Linked DNA regions of Rattus norvegicus. The protein of the gene in region 1 purifies or fractionates together with the protein of each later gene. This does not show direct contact. Links are inferred from orthologs where the notes say so. Each region holds a gene or a part of one and is shown in the gene's direction. Other genes may lie near its edges.

The links. The genes of interacting proteins can lie anywhere in the genome.
Region 2: the proteins of Cops7a (region 1) and Cops8 purify together in Homo sapiens (affinity purification with mass spectrometry; 11 studies listed by BioGRID and IntAct, counting the BioPlex papers as one, with this or other methods). This does not show direct contact. The link is inferred for Rattus norvegicus from reciprocal best matches to the Homo sapiens genes COPS7A and COPS8.
Region 3: the proteins of Cops7a (region 1) and Dcaf11 purify together in Homo sapiens (affinity purification with mass spectrometry; 3 studies listed by BioGRID and IntAct, counting the BioPlex papers as one, with this or other methods). This does not show direct contact. The link is inferred for Rattus norvegicus from reciprocal best matches to the Homo sapiens genes COPS7A and DCAF11.
Region 4: the proteins of Cops7a (region 1) and Cul2 purify together in Homo sapiens (affinity purification with mass spectrometry; 3 studies listed by BioGRID and IntAct, with this or other methods). This does not show direct contact. The link is inferred for Rattus norvegicus from reciprocal best matches to the Homo sapiens genes COPS7A and CUL2.

The regions. Positions count from the first base shown.
Region 1 is NC_086022.1:159,456,746-159,462,058, reverse strand, and holds the start of Cops7a (COP9 signalosome complex subunit 7a), read left to right. Parts: upstream 1-1,885; 5' UTR 1,886-2,007; intron 2,008-2,028; exon of another isoform or gene 2,029-2,127; coding exon of another isoform or gene 2,128-2,141; intron 2,142-2,357; coding exon of another isoform or gene 2,358-2,400; coding exon 2,401-2,562; intron 2,563-2,916; exon of another isoform or gene 2,917-3,022; intron 3,023-5,076; coding exon 5,077-5,152; intron 5,153-5,313.
Region 2 is NC_086027.1:98,653,257-98,658,561, forward strand, and holds the start of Cops8 (COP9 signalosome complex subunit 8), read left to right. Parts: upstream 1-1,774; 5' UTR 1,775-1,824; coding exon 1,825-1,902; intron 1,903-2,772; coding exon 2,773-2,843; intron 2,844-3,855; coding exon 3,856-3,904; intron 3,905-4,981; coding exon 4,982-5,114; intron 5,115-5,305. UniProt on the Homo sapiens protein: Component of the COP9 signalosome complex (CSN), a complex involved in various cellular and developmental processes.
Region 3 is NC_086033.1:33,015,897-33,021,185, forward strand, and holds the start of Dcaf11 (DDB1- and CUL4-associated factor 11), read left to right. Parts: upstream 1-1,758; 5' UTR 1,759-1,805; intron 1,806-1,904; 5' UTR 1,905-2,117; coding exon 2,118-2,272; intron 2,273-3,744; coding exon 3,745-3,872; intron 3,873-4,436; coding exon 4,437-4,564; intron 4,565-4,819; coding exon 4,820-4,884; intron 4,885-5,151; coding exon 5,152-5,252; intron 5,253-5,289. UniProt on the Homo sapiens protein: May function as a substrate receptor for CUL4-DDB1 E3 ubiquitin-protein ligase complex.
Region 4 is NC_086035.1:58,901,602-58,906,813, reverse strand, and holds the start of Cul2 (cullin-2), read left to right. Parts: upstream 1-1,681; 5' UTR 1,682-1,837; intron 1,838-2,220; exon of another isoform or gene 2,221-2,370; intron 2,371-5,212.

The DNA.
Region 1 (5,313 bases):
TGTGAGTCACCGTGTGGTTGCTGGGGTTTGAACTCAGGACCTCTGGAAGAGCTGCCTGTGCTTTTAACCCGAGCCATCTCTCCAGCCCACTCTTTTTCTTTTCTTAAGTTTTATTTATTATGTAGTGTTCTTCATGCATGTACACGTGCAGGCCAGAAGAGGGCATCAGATCTCATTATAGATGTTCGTGAGCCACCATGTGGTAGTTAGGAATTGAACTCAGAACCTCTGGAAGAGCAGCCAGTGTTCTTAGCCTCTTCTAACCTCTCTCTCTCCACCACTCTCAACCTGGAACTCACTACGAAGCCCAGATGGCCTCTGGGCCTAAGATCCTCCTGACTTAGCCTCCCGAGTGCTAGACTACAAGCATGTACTACCATGCCTCGTTTTTCCTGCAGGGAAGCAATGGAATCAGATAAGCCTGCACTTGGACCCTATGTTCCCTTGTCTCATGGGTTACTTCCAGAACTCAGGTCTTGAACTTTCAATTCCCCTGCCTTAGTCTACTGAGTAATGGGATTACAGATTATGAAACAGTAAGTCTGGCTTTACCTTAATTTGCCCCTTAAATGGTTTCTGTAAGTATTTTTGTTTTGTTTCATTTTGAGACATGGTCTCACTAAGTAGTTCTGGCTATACCATAATTCCCTATGCATAAGATGCTGGATGATTTAACTCAGAAATCCACCCAATTAAAGGTGTGTACCACCATGCAATTTAAAGTATTCTAAGACAGGGTCTCTCACACTGTAGCACAGGCTACCCTCCCAACTAATAGCAATCCTCCTGCCTCAGTCTCCTGGCTGTTGGGATTACAAATAACCAGCTGAATCCTTTAACTTTTAAATTTCCTCACCTGCCTAGGTTCTACTTACACTTTTCTCCTGTTGAGATTCAAGTATTAAAACCAGAACGATTAGGTGTAGTAATCCTTCTGGTTTTAATCGGCCAAAAGTCTGGTCACGTGGTCTGAAATTCCAACGGAAGAAAACCTCAAAAGCCTGACCAATACACTTCCCTTTCCCCTTAATCATTTGGGGGTTTGTTTTGTTTTTTCCAGACCGGTTCTCAAGTAGCCCAGACTGGCTTGGTATTTGCTATGTATTTTTTGCTTCGTTTTTTTTTTTTTTTTTTTTTTTGATTCTTTTTTTTCCGGAGCTGGGAACTGAACCCAGGCCCTTGCGCTTCCTAGGCAAGCGCTCTACCACTGAGCTAAATCCCCAACCCCCTGGGGCTGGTTTTGAACTCCCGATCCTACCTCTATTTCCAAAACACAGGGAAGCGGTGTGGGTCACCACTCCCTGCCCCCTTGCATTTTAAACTTTTATTCTGCTCTTTAAAAAACATGAGTGGTTGAACTACCTAAATTATCTACCGTTGAATTCTAGCCACGTTTGTCTACTTTTTATTCTGCTCTTTGAAAAACATGAGTGGTTGAACTACCTAAATTATCTACCGTTGAAACTCTAGCCATGTTTGTCTCCTATTTTTAGTTTCTGCATCTTCTCGTCTTCCACTAACGCTCATGCGGCCGGAGGAACTTGGCGCTGCCCTCCTCCCCTCTCCTGCAGCTACCGGGCGGTTCATCTACCCAGGACCTCCACGGAGCCAGGATTTTCTCTACACCCGGCATCCACCGCTCCCGCACCAATAAAGCTTTATCGACAGAGCGGAAGCTAGGTGTCGCTCTCTCACCTCCTTCGGTCGGGAAACGGAAGCAGGCCATAGCCGGCCGGAACCCGCCTCTCGAGAGCGGAAGTGCGGCCGGAAACTGGCCATAGAAGCGCGTGGCTAGAGCGACCCTGCGGGGAGGTGGCAGGAAAGGCTGGGAGCCGCTGCCGGAGGTGACGGAGCGGCCGCCCCGCCCCGCGCGCTGGAAGACGAGGCTTCCAGGTAGCGGTCGGTCGCAGTCTGTCCCAGGGTACGACCCGGCCTTGGGCACAGATTCGCGGACCCGGGGCTGCCTCTTTAAGGGAGGGGGTGGAGCCACGAGTGAGGATCGAAAAGGTGAGGTCACGTGGTTGAGGACACGTGCAAGACACGAGTTTAGAGCTGGGAGTTCGTCGTCGTTGGGGTAGACACCATGTGCCACCTCTTCCCTCCCTTCCTCATCTGTCCTGGAACTCAATGGGATGCACGTGGTGGGGCTTGGGACTGCCCCGATGGAGGAGAGGGTGGGCGTGGCAGCCAGGATGTGGCCGACTTTAAGGAACCCTAGAGTTGGCTTTTAGACTTCTTGACCTAATTGCACACTGCAGAAGTGACGTGGTACCTCTTGAGTGCAGTTCCCCACCCTTGAGCTGACCACCCTCACGTGGTTCAGGGACCTTTAGTTTTACGTTCCTCTTTCCTTGCAGCTCCAGAAAACTTGAGGCCAGAGCCCCGCACCAGGGTGCAGCCATGAGTGCGGAGGTGAAGGTGACAGGGCAGAACCAGGAGCAATTTCTGCTCCTTGCCAAGTCGGCTAAGGGGGCAGCACTGGCCACACTCATCCACCAGGTGCTGGAGGCCCCTGGTGTCTACGTGTTTGGGGAACTGCTGGATATGCCTAATGTTAGAGAGGTGTGTTGCTTGCCTGGGTAATTCAAAAAGAACCTCGGGACCAAAGTTTCCTTGAGAATGGTGGGCTCATTTTGTAACCAATAGCCACTCAGGTGAACAGGGTATTGATAATTAGATGTCAGCTTGGAAAAGTAAGCAGTCAAAAAAAGGTCTTCATTTCCTGTATCTCTTACAGAAAAGGGGTCTGTAAACTTACTGCTCCCTTCCTCTGTACCCACAATTTCAGTCAGGGTTTCACTGCGTAGTCCTGGCTGCACTAAACTGGTAATCGTCATCTGGGCTGGCCTTGAATGCTTGAGAATCTTCTTGACTATGCCTCATGCAGAAGTTAAAAAAAAAATTTTTTTTTTATTTAAAAATGTGGAACGCTTTATAAATTTGAGGTCATCTTTGCCCAGGGACCATGCTAATCTTCTCTGGATCGTTCTAGTTTTAGTATATGTGCTGCTGAAGGAAACACAGATTTTAAATTTTTAAACAAAAGAACATGTCATACACAATACCACTCATAAATGCCAGCTCGTCCACCAGTATGATATCTTTACTGTTGTTATTGATGTTGTTGTTTTTCGAGACAGGGTTTCTCTGTGTACTATAACTTGTGTTCTGGAACTCTCTGTGTGTTCAACTCAGAGATCCACCTCCGGAGTGCTGGGATTGAAGATTTGTGCCTATTGATACCTCTTAATAATCCTGTCACCATCATTTGGGAGGTAGAAACAGGTGGATCTCTGAGTTAGAGGCCAGCTTGGTCTACAGACTTGAGTTCCAGGACAGCCCCTGTTACACAGAGAAACCGTGTCTTAAAAACAAAACAACAAATCTTGTCACCTGGATCAGAAAAACCTAATTAAGTCTCAGTTTTCCCTTAAAAAATGGTGATGAGAACCTTGAAACAGCTGATAGAGTGGTTGCCTAGCATTTGTGAGGCCTTGGCTTCCATTTCAGAACTTGGGATGCTAAGGTAGGGCACCACAAATTTTAGACCAGCCTCTGCAACTTAGACCCCATCTCAAAAAAGGAGTAGGGATGTACTCAGTGAAAGAGCCCTTGTTTGTCGTATGCATGGCTCAGTATAGGTACAGTTCTCACAACTCCAATGAGGGAAAAACCGAAAAAAACACTACCTGGGCTGGAGAGATGGCTCAGCGGTTAAGAGCACTGACTGCTCTTCCAGAGGTCCTGAGTTCAATTTCCATCAACCACAAGGTGGCTCACAACCATCTGTAATGGGGTCTGATGCCCTCTTCTGGTGTGTCTGAAGACAGCTACAGTGTATACATATACATAAAGTAAATGATAATAAGAAAAAAAGCACTTCCCTTCACAGTTACAGTAGTAACTGTGGGAAAGTCTGGAGTCTCCTAAAATCAGAGAGAATGGGCATTTGAGTTATGCCATGGTAAATCCCACCCCCACCCCTACCCCACCCCCAGGTAGATGGTGAAGATGCTGTCTTCCCTAAGACAGTGGCAAACTGCTATGAACACAGTGACGAGAACATTCAGGGAAATGGCTGAGTCAAGAACGTTAAAAGTGGGGTTGGGAATTTAGCTCAGTGGTAGAGCGCTTGCCTAGGAAGCGCAAGGCCCTGGGTTCGGTCCCCAGCTCCGGAAAAAAAAAAAAAAAGAAAAAAAAAAAGAAAAAAAGAACGTTAAAAGTATAGAGCAGATGGATGGCCAATCCTGGGACACCAGCCTGTCATGAGAGTGACAGTAGTGTGTGGCTAGACTGAGCCAGGCATTAGAAGACCCGTGGTGGAATCAGAGGATAGAATGTTTTTTGGGACTGCTGTTTCACAAGAAACTGGCTTTTGTCCCTGATTTTCTCTACAGTGAACTAAAGTATGTCCTTAAGATGAGGTAGAAGGAGCATTTCCAGCTTGTGTTCCAGTGAAAGAGATCGGATAAATGGATAAAACAATACAAGTCAGCAATTTATCAGTAACTTACTTCGAAGGCCACAGCTCTGGGTCCTTGGAGGCTAGCAGATGCTGGGTCTATAGCCTTGTTAAAACATTGTTGGGGCTGGGGATTTAGCTCAGTGGTAGAGCGCTTACCTAGGAAGCGCAAGGCCCTGGGTTCGGTCCCCAGCTCCGAAAAAAAGAACCAAAAAAAAAAAAAAAAAAAAAAAAAAAAAAACATTGTTAGGTGAGAACCAGCAGAGTGACATGCCAGGATAAGTGGCAGTGACAGGAGGGAAGGTGCTGTGGATGACGTAAGACCTCGCTATGAGGACATTCTGAAGCCATGGCCACAAACCCTCTGGGGGGCGGGGGGGCACATAATTTACAGTGTCTGGTGTGTATGTGTGTGCACACGCACCTGTGCTACTCTGAACACTGAAAGTTTTCAGCCCTGACTGAGAATAGGAATCGGATGCGTAGCACAGCAAAGGGTTAGTAGCAGAAATGAGCCCCTGACAGACCAGGATAGGGACTGTTGGGAAGGATGGGGTGAGAAAGCAAGGTCAGAACAGGGCCTCCTTGTCACTGCCTCCCTTGTGTTCTTGCAGCTGGCAGACAGCGACTTTGCCTCCACGTTCCGGCTGCTCACAGTGTTTGCCTATGGGACCTATGCTGACTACTTAGGTAAATAGGGCCAGAGCTGTGGAAACAGGAGAAGGGTGGTTTCTGGAGAGACTTAGAAGAAATTCCTGGCTTGCCCTTCTTCGATGTCATAAGTGAACCTGGGCAGGTTAGACCATAATTGGTGCAGAAAACTTGCAGGAAATGGCTAAAAACAAGATCCC
Region 2 (5,305 bases), on another chromosome or scaffold:
TCAAGGGAACTGAAGATAGGCCAGGATAAAGCACAATTGTACTCTGAACCTGCAACCTTGCAACCTCTTCCCAACCTGGGAAACTTTACCAGTCTGTCAATTAGTAAGGGGTAGCTTCTTTATGGGAACTTTTGTTCACATGAATTTGAGCAGAAAAACAAAAAGGTATGGTTTGGGCTTCAAAGAAAAGACATCGGACAGGGAAGAGTCAAGGAGCACTTGCTTATCAGGAGACCAGGAAAGGTCAGGCACACCAGTGGCTCAAGCTAGAGAGACTTCACTCACCTCTAGTGTGTATGTGTGTGTGTGCATGAGACATACACAGGTGGTAACATGGTGCTGGGGTCTACTGAGACTGAGGCAGGTAGAAAGAGAGAAGTGAGAGTTAGGCTTGGAGCTTTTCCAAAACTTCAAGGCCAGCCTGCGCAACTTAGTAAGACTTTGTCTTCAGTAAGTAAAAGGAGACCTGGAGGTACAGCTCAGTGTTAAAACTATGCACAAAGCCTGTGTTCCAATCTCCAGTTCTGCCCAAGAAGACAGCAAAGGGGCAGTTGTTGGTATCCGTACCATTGGTTGGTATCCGCTTCCCATGTCTGAGGAATGGTCAGGGTATGGGCTAGGTGTTTTTACCTCTCATGCCCGGAACTGAAATTCAGGCACCCAGATATGCAAAGTAGCAAGGAAACCTTATGCAAAAGCAAAGCCATACTACAGATTAGAAAGAAATACGTTGTCATGAGTGACAGTTGGCCACTTGAGCTAGCATACTAGAGTCCCAATTACTGTTCGGGGCTTTTATGGAGTTCAAGAAGGAGTCTGATTGCTAAGAGGCATTGCACTCTGTTATGATTGCAAGATTTTAGCTATGTTACCTCCCTTTTTCCATTGTATATATCTCTTCCCATAATGTATTTGATTTTAATCAAATGCATTCCCAAGCATGCACAATCAAGACGGTAAATAGGAGTTTCTCCTAGCAAATTCACTTAGAAGACATGATTTACCTTCCTGGGCAGTCACCTAAAACCAATTCAGGTTAGATCAGACCTCCTGCCCTCATACTGTACATAACTGAAGTATCAGTGAATAGAATCTGTTTGAAGGTCAGTAGAGAGAGGAGAAACTTATCCCATTACTTGGAGAGGATGTGCCTGCAAGCTCCACACAGGTTGTGGACAGGGGTCCTGGTTTTCTGACAGTTGCTAGGTGAATTTTCGGAAAAGGAGGTGTGTGTGTGTGTTAGTTGTTCGGAAAAGGAGGTGTGTGTGTGTGTGTGTGTGTGTGTGTGTGTGTGTGTGTGTGTGTGTGTGTGTGTGAATAGTAGGTGTAGGTGAGATCCTCAGGCTGCCAAGTGCATTGTTAGAAAAGGGATGTGTGTATAGCACAAGCCAAGAAGAGTTTCGGGTTTAGAGTTTCCTCTTTAACACCTTAGCTTAGAAGTACAGTTCAGCGTTCTCAAAACACGTGGAGGTCCAATGGTTTTACTTTTCTCCCACGGCGACTGTGGCTGTGAAAGATGCAGTCCCACTATCACTTCCTTCCTTGGGCGGAGAATCCAAGCCGCAGCCAAGCCCCTCCCAGTGACAGTGGCCTGTCTTAGAAAGCCGGTTCCTCCAAGTCTGGAGCAGGTCCTCCAGAGCACCGAGGTGGCGGGGCAGAGCGCTCGCTGCCCTGCTTCTCAGCCACGGCGTCGCTTAGGAAATGACGACACATTTGCGCATGCGTACGGAGAGCCAGCTTCTTACGTCATCGAGGGCGCGACGCCCCGAGGGCCAGCTTGTGCTTTGGTCAGGCGGGGTGGCGGCGGCGAGAGCGGCCGGGAAGATGCCAGTGGCGGTGATGGCGGACAACGCCTTCAGTTTCAGAAAGCTGTTGGATCAGTGCGAGAACCAGGAGCTTGAGGTAGTGCGGCAAAGTGCGGCGGTCGGGTGGGCGCCCGTTTCCAGGGTAACGGGCCAGGCCGCGGCCTGCTAGGAGCACAGTCCGGGTTCATCAAGCCCCAGTTTCTGGCTATAATCAGGAGACACTTCCATTTATAATGTTAAGATAAAAAGTTCACTAAATAAGCTGGGTGCAGTGTCACAGGAATCCCGTGGGCACACGTGAGGCGGAGGCAGGAGGATTGCTGGTAAATTCGATGCCTGCTTGGGCTACGAAAAATCAAAACAAAAAATAAAAGGGAGAGCAGGGGGCTCACCGACTGAAGGGGACAGCAGCAGCTTGTCGATGAGCATTTAGCAGACCGCAGACCATGTTGAACGAATAAAGATTGAGCAGAGACCTCCATAACTACCCGTTGGTAGTCTTCTGTTTTAATCTTACTTAACCTTTTAAAATAACGGGCAGAGAAATAGTGCATTAAGAACCTGTTGGAAGTATTTCTTACTTTTTTTTAAATTTGAGACTAATTAGTTCAATAACGGGGTGGTTCAGAAATCTTGTGCATGTAATGATGGTTTTATGAGGCTTGCCGTGCTGGTGTGGACTGGCCTGTTCCCAGCTGGACAGTTAGGTGCTGGAGGCGGCTGAGGGGCTGAGGAATTTCAGCAGGTGATGGCATTACATATTTGTGAATATGGAAAGAAACTGATAGCTCACTGGGGATCAATAACAGCTCACAACATCTAAGCTCAGATTTTCATCTGTGGTACTTCCCTCAGCATTTGTCTGCATCTGTAGTACTAGAAAACTTACTTTTTAAGTTTTAATTTTCTTTTTTCTGAACGTTTTTGGGAAATAAGGTGCCCACCCCCCCCCCCTTTGTTTATGTAGGCTCCTGGAGGAATCGCCACGCCGCCAGTGTATGGTCAGCTTCTCGCTTTGTATTTGCTGCAGAACGACATGTAAGTAGTGCCTTTTGCACTGATAATGCAGTAACAGATAGGTTACCTTTACCATAATATGTTGTATCTGTTTCTTGTTCAGTCACATGAATAATTAAGCTAGATTTTTCTTTGTTGTTGTTGTGTGTGTTTTATATACCCCTAAAAAACATGGTAAGTTTTTTTGAGAATCTAGCATCACGAACCAATGGAACATAAAAACAATGGTGTTTATTTTTTAACTTATGTTTACTCAGAGACTGTGTGGTGGTCGTGCATGTCTTTAATTCCCCACACTTGGGAGCCCGAGGCAGGCTGCTCTCTGAGTTGGAGGTCGGTCTGGTCTGCAGATCCAGCTCTAGTACAGCCAGGACTACGTAGAGAAATCCTGCCTCAAAAAATCAAATAAGCAAAGCAAAGCAAATTTGTACTCAGTAGAAGCGAAGAAGCTGGAGCTGGCAGGGAACACTGGGAGAGCCAGGAAGGATTAGATATGTTTGAATTAGTCTTCCTGGGTGGGAAGCAGAAGCTTGAGAGGGCTAGAGAATAGAGGCCTGGTGTGGTTCCGAACAACCCGTTGTGATATTTTTTACAGAAACTAAGCTCAGTTTCTTCATTATACATACATGAGTTATTTCTGCTTTGTGATCATGTGTCCTATGATTGTTCCAACCCCTTTGCACTCAGTAGGAGAATGGCTCCAAAAATATAACACATATATTGAGAGGGACACTCAGAGCCTTTAAATGGACACATTTGTATCTAAGTCCGTGGTTTAAATCTGTTGCTGTAGTTTAGGATCTGAATTGTTAATTTTTAAAAATTCAGCAAAAAAAATGAAAAAAATTACCCTGAATAAAAGTTATTTCATGTCCTTTTTTCTGGAAAACCGCTTTTCCTCAACAAATTCATATAGAACTGAGTTGTGCCGTGGCCTCTTTTGGTAGGTGTTCTATTGTGCGTTTACATTAGGTCCTATCGTTCTGTATATTGACTGAGATGACTTGCTTAAACTGATCTTTGTGTACATTAGGAATAATGCAAGATATCTTTGGAAGAGGATACCACCTGCTATAAAGTCTGTAAGTACTCCTGCAGTGTCCCCTGTTGCTTTTAGAATACTAGCATTTACTTAAATGACAGCATCCAGTTCCTCTTTTCTTTCTCATGTATATCACTGAAGCCACTGTTGAGTGAATATTAAGGTTCCAGACCAGCAGGTTCTCTAACGGGGAGGTTCAAACCATCTGGTCTCTCTAATGGGGAGGTTCAGACCAGCAGGTCTCTAACGGGGAGGTTCAGAAATCTTGTTTATGTAATGATGGTTTTATGAGGCCTGCCGTGTGGACCGGTCTGTTCACACTGGCCAGTGAGGTCTAGGAGGTGGCTGAAGGGCTGAGGAATTTCAGCAGACTACTTAATTTGCTGTAATGATGTCTATTTGTAAACTGGCATTATTTACATGGATAGTCACTGTATTAAGATCACACTCACTCTGTTAGTTGGTTTTCTTACTTGGGATGGAGATGAAATGAAATGACCTGAGAAAGGTGTCTTGCCAGGTAGAATGAAGTAAGACTTACTTCACTTCCTTTCCCATTCTCTTTATAAGAATGAAACAGATGAGCTGTTATGAATGGGAACTCTGCAAGTAGGCTCTAATTGACAGGGCCTTGTTAATCAGCTTTCTGGTGGTAGTTTTGTCCCATGAAGAAGTGCTAGCATCTTAAATTTAAGCAGCAGTGCTTAGTTATGATAATTGATCCCCAGACTTCATTCTGAAATTTTTTTTTTTTACTTTCTCATGTTGTTGCAATAAAAACATTAATTATAGAAATTGTTGACATAACTGCTCACAGCATTTTAGAATCAGGCAGATCCAACCTTTGGACATTGCAAAATGATGTTATTTGCAGAGTTCATAGTCTAGAACTGGGCATGCAAGCTACCAAAAAGAAAAGGTTTCACATTTTATACCTGTTGTTGGCCCTGTGACCTGCGGGCTGGATACATCTATTAGAAAAGTAATTTCATCTCCTAAAATGAATAGAGTGTATTTTAATGATACAGCTAACAAATTCTGTCACTTCTGATAATTTTTGAAGATATGTTCGTTATTACAGAGCAGGTACCTTCAAAGACAACACTTTTTATTGCAGGCAAATTCTGAACTTGGGGGAATTTGGTCAGTAGGACAGCGAATCTGGCAAAGAGACTTCCCTGGGATCTATACGACCATCAACGCACACCAGTGGTCAGAGACTGTGCAGCCAATCATGGAAGCCCTTAGAGGTAGCATTTTCCTGCGGTTAAAAGCCATGTTGCACTAAGCTGTCCTTGGAACTCTACAGTGCTCTGCTGTGCTTTGCTGTGTCAGTGTGTACTGTCAAAGTAGACAGTTCTGATTTTGGGACTACCGTTCAGATTTGAGCTAGATCCATGCTAATTGTGATTCTTCATCTCATTGCTGGGAATGTATCGGG
Region 3 (5,289 bases), on another chromosome or scaffold:
TTCAGACACAACAGAAGAGGGCATCAGATCCCATTACAGATGGTTGTGAGCCACCATGTGGTTGCTAGAAATTGAACTCAGAGGACCTTGGCAAGAGCAATCAGTGCTCTTAATCACTGAGCCATCTCTCCAGCCCTAGATAAAATTTTTAAATGAAGTTAGTAATCAGGTTGGGAAGTCTGTATTTGAAGTAATATATATTAAAAAAAAAAAACGGAAAAAAATCACTGGTCAGCTCTTAAGAACGAAATACTTTTAAGAGGATACGTGAGCAGATCAACAAATGGAAAAAGTCTCAAGTGTGGAAAAATGGCGACTGTGAAAATAAACCTCAAGTAATCAGTTAAAAAATATCTACAGAACATATAAGAATTTGAGGAGTAGTAAGGAAGGTAAAATACTTTCTAAAATTATTACAGACTTTCCAGACCAGATAACCCAGATAAATAGGAATCCTGAAAGCTCGGTGTATGTTAGAAATACCTGTCCACATAATTAATGGAGACCAGCCAAATAACAAAATGCTGGGCGCTTGTTTACAGTTAAGAATTTTACAACCAATGGGCAGTTTAACCATCGTCAGTGTGGACCGGGAGAAAATGTTGGGGTCTCCGGCCTAGAGACCAGGGGAAACCTTACAGGACCTGTCACAAGCTGGTCCAGGGTGCTGAGGTGTCCTCACGGTGGCCCTGCTCTGGGCCAAGGCCAACGTCACCAGCCTCTACGCTCCCTGGCCTGGGAAACCATCCCAGACAAGGTAGGGCTCGGCCTTGGACTCACCCAAGTTATTCATAAACCCGCAGGAGGCGGCGCGCGATTGAAGCCTAGGGAAGGTCGGCAAAGCCCAGACCCAGGGAGCGCGTGCGCACTACGCAACCGGAAAGACTCCGTGGAGGGCCGCGACATTTAGGGAGCGTCTGCAAAGACCAGGAAAGGAAGCCAGGGGTCGTCTAACAAGACCGCCGCGGGTAAGCCGGTACACAGCAGGATGGAAAGGCCTGGGTTCCACCAGTGAGGACTGCTTTCGACAGGCCGCTGGCCCTACAGCCAGGGAAAAACGGTTGAACTGGGGTTGCTGGGAGCTGAGGGAATAGGAGCGGCTGGGCATGCAGTAAAAAAAAAACACTCGAGGCCAAGCGACCTTAAGGGACCACCTCGCAGACTTTACGTCTAGCTCCGCTATCTCTAATGCAGGCCGCAGCCAATTCCAGTCCGCTACGACTTAACGCCCCCCCTTGGGTTAAGAAATTTCTCCAGCCCACCCATCAATCACCGGTCTCAGCTGTCCAATCAGCGGACCAAGGGGGCGGAACATCGAGGAGCGTCGAGTGACGTCATCAGGCCTGGCAGTCAGAGGCGTGACGGACGAGGCTCGCGACTTAGGAGCTGTTAGCCGGCGCGGCAGCGGTAGGCAGTGTAAACAGGGCCTCGCCCCTGCGGGTCCTGCGACGGCTCCTGGCTGGTGAGTGACCTCGCGTGGGGCGGTAACCGCCAGACGCCGGGGGAGGTGCTTCTCCACTTTCCCTCCCCCTGTTGTACACACCCCCGGCGCACCACGTGGGTGTGAAGCTAAACTGGAGGGGGTGTTAGGCTGACTTCTAACCTCATTGGCTGTTGCTGCTGCCGGCTCTCAAGAAATTGCTCTGATTGGTCAGCAGAAGGGGGCGTCGGGGGTCTGAGTTCTAACGCTTCTGGTTGGTTGTGTGAGATAAGCTAGTGAAGTGCGTTCTTCCGCAAGGGGTTTTGATTGGTCAGTCGGAGAGGTTATCTGGGATTCGGCCACCCTGGGCCGGGGACTTTGATAGGTGAGTTTGGCTAGGAAAATGAGAAATTCCTCTTCATGGACTCTCATTAGTACGGTAGGGTTGCACCCTAGGTTTCATGTGGCTTTCTTTGCTTCACAGGATTGAGGAAGGTTTATGTTCCCGAAACCTTGGGAGCTGTCATAGCTAAAGAGAAGGAAATCTCAGTCTCCTAGAGGGGTCACCCCTCTAAAGATAGCTTCTGCCCCGTTTCTGGAAACCCTGATATTTCTAGAGCAGGATTTGCTTTCACCAAACCCAATTTGGAGACAGGAGAAGTCCCTGCACAGGATATAAGGATGCTGTAACCAGAACATGGGATCACGGAACAGCAGCAGCGCAGGATCCGGGTCCTTAGAACCCTCCGAGGGCTTGTCCCGAAGAGGGGCTGGCCTGCGTCGTAGTGAGGAAGAAGAAGAAGAGGATGAAGATGTGGATCTGGCCCAGGTACTGGCCTATCTCCTCCGCAGGTAACTTACCCTCTGCTGTGACACTAAGTGTCATCCCAATATCTTGACCTCAACTTCAGGCAGGAAAAGTGCAGAGGATAGGGAATGGTACTGTCCCAGGACAACGTTTGTGTTTGAACAGGACCACCTTTCCCTGCTGGATGTCCATACTCTCTATGCAGCTCCATACCCAAAATGGTTCTTACCTAGGGCACGGCTTGAGGGACCTCTCAGGGGGAGTCTTTTTGGCTGTGACAACACAAATTTAATCTGTTTTCCAAGAAAATAAAACAAGAAATGGAAGAGGGATTATGGAGGAAAGGAGAGATGTGAGAAGAGTTGGGAAGGGGGTGTTAAATCACTTGCTATGTGAGATGAAGCCATGTGGATTTACTTGAAAAACAAGTTTACATCGACCTTACTAGCCCTGCTCTTAAGAAAAGAATGCCCTGAAGGGGGTGACCACCAGGAACTAAGAACGACTTGAATATTTGGCTTTGTTTGCCTGCCTGTGGTTCCTTGGGAAAAGATAAACCTAGTATCCCTTGGACATTGTGTTCTGTGCTGCATTCCTACAGCAACGGCTGTGAGAGTTGTCATTGTCAGCTTGACAGGGTCTGGAGTCACCTAGGGGACAGCACACCTAGGAGGGATGGATTCTTTAGCCTCTCTGGGCAGGTCTGGAAGGAATTATAGCGATTGGGTTCGTTGATTAGGAAGACCCACACTGAACATGAGTGGCACCAGTGCTTGGGTGTGGGTCCTAGACTGTATAAAAAGGAGAAAGGTAGCTAAACACAACCATTCATCCTGTCCTCTTCCCTGGTTGTGAATACTCTGTAGCCAGCTGTTCCTGTCCCTGCTGCTTTGACTGCCCCACCATGATAGACTCTGCCCTTGAGCCATGAGCCAAAATAAGCCTCTCTCACTGAAGGTGCTTTTGTTGGGGTATTTTATCATGACAGGAAAGGATACTAAGGAATAGAGATGGAAGTGCTTTCCTGATTCTTAGCTCTTGAACTTGGGGTATAGCTTTGTGGTAGAAGTTTATCCAGTATGCACTGAGCCCCTGGGTTCAGTCCTTAGCCCTGAGACAAATCAGTTAGTAGGTCAGTCTTTGTAGCCTGTTAGAACTCTGTGCTCTTACTCAAGAGTTCAAACTAGTTCCCTACTGTGTCTTTTTGTGTGTTTGCTTTGTTTTGTTTATTTTTGAGGCAGAGCTTCTCTGTAGCCCTGCCTGCTCTGGACCTCACTCTGTAGACCAGGCTTGCCTCGAACTCACAGAGATCCACCTGCCTCTGCCTCCCAAATGCTGGGATTAAAGGCATGCTCCACTACTGCCTGGCCCTACTATGACTTCTGGAAACTTAAAATCCAACTTCAAAATGAGAACCAAATGTACTAGGAGCTAGACAGCCATTGACTCCAGCCAGATAGCCATTGGTTAGATGGGAGAAGGGATCCCCTCCTTTATAATGGGGATCTCTCCACAGAGGCCAAGTGAGGTTGGTGCAAGGTGGAGGTGCAGCAAATTTACAACTCATCCAGGCCCTCTCAGACTCAGAGGAAGAGCATGACAGTGCCTGGGACGGTCGCCTTGGAGATCGATACAACCCACCTGGTAAGAGGAGAGGCCATCTAATGTTTTTTGGGTTTGTGTTTTCTTTGTTTTTCTTTCTTTTTTTTTTTTTTTGATTATTTATTTTATGTATATTGAATACACTGTAGCTTTCCCAGACACACCAGAAGAGGGCATCAGATCTCTTTACAGATGGTTGTGAGCCACCATGTGGTTGCTGGGAATTGAACTCAGGACCTCTGGAAGAGCAGTCAGTGCTCTTAACCACTTTCCAGTCCCTTGTGTTTTGTTTCTAAGACTGGGTCTCTCTGTATCCCTGGCTGTTCTAGAATTCTCAGTTTAATCCAGATCTGCCTTCCTCTGCCTCCCAGGTGCTGGGATGAAAGCCATGCATAACTGACAATCTGATCTTAATGTTGGAAGATGTTCACTAGACTTTTTTACCTTTAAAGTGAATCAGTCTTCTGAAGCTTAGTATGTTAAATGAAAAGAGAATTCAGGGGACGAGGGAATCCTTGTAGCCAACCACATGGAGTGGGCACAATTTTGCTAGCTCATGTCTGGGCTGTAAGTCCTGGAACGAAACTTCTTTTTTGGTACTCACAGTGGATGCAACCCCTGACACCCGGGAGCTGGAGTACAATGAGATCAAAACTCGGGTGGAATTGGCCACGGGGCGGCTAGGACTCGGGAGGACTGCTCAGGAGCATAGCTTCCCTCGAATGCTACACCAGGTAGGCCTTTCTGCCTCTCGTCAGCCTGGCAGCAGACCTGTTGAGGCCAGAAGTTCTGCTACCTCCTGAAAAAAGGATGTAAACCTCCAAGGAAACCTCACGTGTGGGGGCTCGAGTGTGTTAGCAGCCTGCATCCTGGTGCTCTGGGCTGTTTGCTTTTTGTAGCAAGAGAAATACCCTTGGAGGAGGGGACTGGGTGTGATTACAGTGGCCCTCCAGTTCTGCTAGCAATATTCCCCAATCCCTTCCATTTAGAGAGAACGGGGCCTCTGCCACCGGGGAAGCTTCTCCCTTGGAGAACAGTCTCGAGTGATGTCTCAGTGAGTATGGGGTTTTGTGGAGAGACCCTAGGGGCCAGCTAGACCTTATCTTCTATACTTGGAAGGGTGTAAGTTAAAGGTTTCTCAGAAATATTAAGACTAGTTTGAAAGGGGCTGAAGATGTGAAAGTAAACGAAATAGAGAAGTATGAAGACTGACAGGACAGACAAGGGGATTATATCCAAGGCCAAAGGGATATGCTGCATTCCGTTCTGCTGAGTCCTTCTCACTCAGAGGTCCCCTCTCCTTCTCTCTCCCCTTCTCTAGCTTCTTGCCCAATGATCTAAGCTTCACTGATACCTACTCTCAGAAGGCTTTCTGTGGCATCTACAGCAAAGATGGTCAAATCTTCATGTCCGCTTGCCAAGGTACTAGATCCTAGTCTTATTAACTGCCTTAACCTAA
Region 4 (5,212 bases), on another chromosome or scaffold:
AAGGTCAGCCCGGTCTACATACACAGAGAAACCCTGTCTTAAAAAACAAAAACGATTTTTTTCGTTTAAAATTAGTTTTTAGAATGGTGGCAAGGGTGGTGGTGGTGGTGGTGGTGGTGATCTACGACAACATGTGTATGGAGGTCAGAGAACAACTTTGGGAATCCATTCTTTACTGGCATGTGGGGTCAGGTGATCAATTGCAAGTCACAGGGCTTAGAGCAGTTGCCTTTACCAACTGAAACATGTCCTAGGCCCCACTGGAATCCTTTATGAGGTTGGTCATTTGTTAAGTAATGGTCCATTATATTATATTGTTTACTGCAGTGCTGAGGGTCAGACAAGAACCTCGCACATGCTAAGCCTTTATGTAATTTATTTTGGAGAAAATATTTGTAAATTCCAAAATTATAGTAGCGTTAGTTTGTTTATTTCTCTTTTCTTTTGTTTTCTTTTTTCTTTTGGATTTTTGAGACAGATCCACATTAAAGGCATGTACCACCGTCGCCACCAGGATCTTACTTTTTGACATGTTTTGTATAGCTCTCTAGCTTGGAACCCACTGAACTCGCTGATCATGCTGCTGCTGACCATTTCCAAGTATTTGGAAAATAGCTATATGCCACCAGATCTGCCAAATTTTCCCAGAAAATTTGGTAGATTTCATCACCTCTGGAAATAGGATTTTATTTTGAGAGGATTTTATTTTGAGACAGGGAATCACCGTAGAGGAGGAGGTGCTGGACTTCTATCCTAAGGTCTTGACCTTGTAAATATTGGGATTACAAGGTTAAAGCCACATACCGGGCAAGAAGATAGGGTTTTAAGTGGACTTTAAAGGATTGGCACTAATTGAACGAAGCCTAAGAGGTAAAACTGATGTCTTCTCTATTGGAAAAGTAATTAAATAACAAAGGCGTGTGTTTGTTTGCTTGCTTGCCTTTCTCTTGTGTTTCTGCATGTAGCAGTGATATGTAACTGCCACCTGCTTTTGTCAACACTGTCCTTGGGGGTGGGGAGGGCCTACCTATTATTGTTGTCAAGAGATGTTTAGGTCTTTGAATTTGACTGAATGCAAAAATAGGAGGCAGGCTTGGTGGCTTACTGAGTAGGCTGAGGCAGGAGGATTGCTAGTTCAGTACCAGCCCGGGCTATAAAAAGTCAGGCTTTCAAGAGTCGCCTAAGCTAGACACACTGTCTCAAAATTACAAATCACAAAATCACATACAAATAAAGCAGAGACTCCACCCTCCAGTGTGATTTCGATAGAAATCGTTTCCAAATTTGGGTACTGCACCCCTTTGAGCTCAGGGAACTGCGATTGCCTCATTGACAAGTATGCTGGAAGATGAAATACTTTGTCAATTGATTGCAAGAGCTTCGCGATTCAGGAAGGCTGGCTCCCTGCGCTTGCCGTAACCTGGACTGGACCATTGCATCCTGCGGGTGTGTGAGTGCAAGAGGCTGAAAGAGCGGAGCGGAGGGCGTGTGTCGGGCAAAGCCCGGAGCCCCGGAGGACGACTGCCTCCTGGAGCCCGCCACCAGCCCGCCCTCCTCCCTTGACCTCGTCGCGCCTCGCCGCAGCGGCCTTGTCTGCAAGGCTCCCTCGGGAGCAGGTGAGTGGCGGCGCCTTGCTCCGGGCACCCCCGTGGCCCTGGGGCGGTGGCGGTGGCCGGCCGGGGAGGCGGCCTCGGCGCACAGTAATGGCAGCGCTGTGAGCCGGGGAACGCGAGCTGACAGCCGCCGCCGCCCACCCTCGGAGCCGGGGGCTTCGTCCTTCACGCCTGCGGGTTGCCTCCCTCCCCGGGCTCCTGCCCTCGCCCTGCTTTTGCAGAAGGTAAACCGGTTGAAAGCTGGGAGCTGGGCTGCGGATGCAGGGAAACTTCCCTTCCCGGCGAATGGGTGGCGGGGATGGGGCGACCTGGCGGAGGGGAGCGGGCTGAGAGCCGGAGGCCCGGCAAGATGGTGTCCTGTGAGTGACCTCGGCTCCCCAGACTGCTGACCCTTAAGCCAAGCTGACCCTGGACCAGATCCGGGGCCTCCCCGACCCATTGCCGGCCGCCCCTCCCTCGGCCTCATTTTCCTCCTAAGGAGGGAAGGTGAGAGTGTGCTTTCCTGATTACATTTACATGCTCACACGGAGACCAAAGTCTCTGTAGAAGGGGGTAGCATCAATCTCATACATCCTAGCCACGAGTATTTTCACTTTTGTTTCCGCAGACAGTGAAGATTGATAGCTTTGGGGAGGAGTATTCTACGTGCATGCTACACCTCTTGCCTCAACACTTATGGGCTGGTGAAATAAGAGCCTTAGATTCTCTCCAGCATTTGTTTACATACTAGACTCTTAAACCCTTCCTTACCATTACCGTGAGTGCATGTAGAACATCTTTTGAATTTGCATTGTTATTATAAGTTATTCCCGTCCTCCTTGGTTACTATTATTGGCAGATGGCAGTAGCCTCTAAGTTTCAATTTGCAGATAAGACACAAACTACTGAGTTGCAGATGTAGCTCAGTGCTACAACACTTAGACTAGCATGCAAGGAGCCCTGGGTTCAACCCCATCGCCTTCTCAAAAAAAAAAAAAAAAAAAAAAGGTGTGTGTGTGTGTGTGTCTGTGCCTGTGTGTGTCTGTGTGTGTATTCCTTATTGAGTTTTCAATAGAAAATATTCTTGCCCTAGAACTTACCCCAAACCCATATTTATAACACAATATGGGAGATCACTTTATTTCTCTTATCCCATGTGTCATTCCAAGACACAAAAGTGATCTAACTAGCTTAACTTTGACTCTTTTGCCCATATACAGTATTTGGACGTACCTTCCCAGAGAGTTGCAAATGAATTAACAGTGGGGTACAGTTTTTAGTTATTATCCCTCTCTTGCTATTTGTGACTTGTGGGAAGGTGTGGTAATTTTTTTGGGGGGTGGTGATTTTTCTTCAGACAGGGTCTTTATTATGTAGCCCTGGCTGTATGGGATTCACCATGTACACCAGGGTGGCCTCAAACTCCCAAGAGCTCCATCTGCCTCTGCCTCCCTAGTGCTGGGATTAAAAGCATGTGGCATCACTCCCAACTCTCTTGTTGTGCTGTATAGCCTTAGTTGGTGTAGTACTCACTGTGTAGCCCCCTAACCTCACATTCTTGGGAGTCCCACCTCAGTAGGTGCGGGGGTTACAAGTGGGTGCCACCAGGCCCCGCTTTCGTTAATTTTCTGTATTTATATTGTTTGTTAGTGTCTTTTAGCTTTTCATCATATATAATTGAGCACCGAATGTGAAATCTCTGCTTTCTTTTCTTTTCCTTCCTAACTTCTTTCCTTTTTGTGGTTTTGGTTTTCAAGACGGGGCTTCTCTGTATAACAACCCTGGCTGTCCTGGAACTCACTCTGTAGACTAGACTATCCTGGAATTCAAGAGATAGATCAGTGGCCAGCACTGTCTGTCTAAATGTCTGCTTTCTTAAAGCTTCCTTCTGGCTGAGATGGAGAGACATAGATTAGAAACACTCTGAAGGAAATAAGGAATTCTAATGATTGGTTAAAAAAAAAAAATCGTTTCGGATACTGTGGTTTAAAAAGGCTTCGCTTAGGTGACCTTTGACATATTTGAAAAGGCCAGAAAGCACAGGTCTGTGGAAGTTCTGAAGAAACTCTGGAGGAAATGCAAACAAAAAGCTCCAGGGAGAGAGAGAGTCCAGCTCACCAGGAGCAGCTCAGCAAGAGAAAGCCCTGTGAGGGAGGCTGAGGCTTAGGTTTAAAGCTCTAGCTCAATTGGGCCAGAATTTAGTTTCTTAGAAACATTTCAAGTTTTAGATCTTGAGAAGTAGATAGTAACAGTCTGGTGTACGTTCTGCTGATGTCAGAAGACACCGCCCCTGGGGTCACCGCCTTGGAACCTTAAAGGACAAGTAGCAAGGTTTCCAGATGTGTTGAAGGTACTTGTTGAACATGATAAAGTGGAATTGTTCGAGGTGGGCATCTCTTGGGTTTTGGGGTTCAACGGGAGGGTGACAGTACATACAGAGTTGAGGATAGAGTTGGACTAGGTGTCTTGAGTTGATTCAGTCCAAGCGCAACATTTAGTACCAAGGTGGAGGAGTCATTCAGTTTGCTCCTTAATTTGAAGTGGGTTTCACACAGCAGCAGCAGCAGCAGCAGCAGCTCTGGTCCCGACAACTGGAATAGTGAAAAGTTAGACAGATCTATGTCTTCATGAAACATGGGGAGAGAAATGTGGATCGAGGGAGTCTTATCAGTCTTGCTAACTGGTGGACCATTTCCAAAGGTTTGTTTTTGTGCCTTTAACTGGGTCTGAAAAACGGTAGCACACCTTACGAGTGGACACTCTGATAGTATAGTAAATGTTACAAACAGGGATAAGGACACCTAAAGAAAAACAGGGAGATGGAGAAGCCTACAGGGAAGAGCAAAGCTTCTGATCTGATCTTTGCCCTCTTCGACTGTGTGCTTAGTTAACCCAGGCCTGTTACATGTGCTGTGTAGCTCAGGCTAGCCTTTTCTCTTACACCCTATCCTGAAAGTACTGGCATTATTGGTACGCATGCGTTGTGGGCTCAGATGCATGTTCTTTGAAAACTCAGCATCCTAAGTGCCACCACACATGGTTTTAGGATGAGTGGCCAGGCAGGCAGTCTTACCAACTAAGCTTCATCCCACAAGATGGTTCTTGACTAAAAACTAGTGCACGTGGACTTCTTTGTCTCTTTTTGTTTAAAATTCTAAAATGTGTAGACGTTAAATGTTCAGTTTGAAGGTTTCAATTAATCAAAGTCTTTTCTTTTATAGACTTAAACATTTAGTGTTAACCATCGTTAGTCATTAAATTATAGCCTCATTATAACTTGTCAGAATTTGGGCTGGAGAGATGGCTCAGTGGTTAAGAGCACTGACTGCTCTTCTAGAGGTCCTGAGTTCAAATCCCAGCAACCACATGGTGGCTCACAACCATCTGTAGTGGGATCTGATGCCCTCTTCTGGTGTGTCTGAAGACAGCTACAGTGTACTTAGATATAATCTTTAAAAGAAAAAAGTTAGAAGTTTTCATAAAAACAGATTTACAGCTTATTATTGTTTTATTTCTGTAATTTGCTATAAACTTAAGTTTAGCTACATCTCCAGCATCCTTTGGCACTCTAGAATATACTAAATGTTTAATAAGTATCTATTAACTCAGTAAAGTCTTTG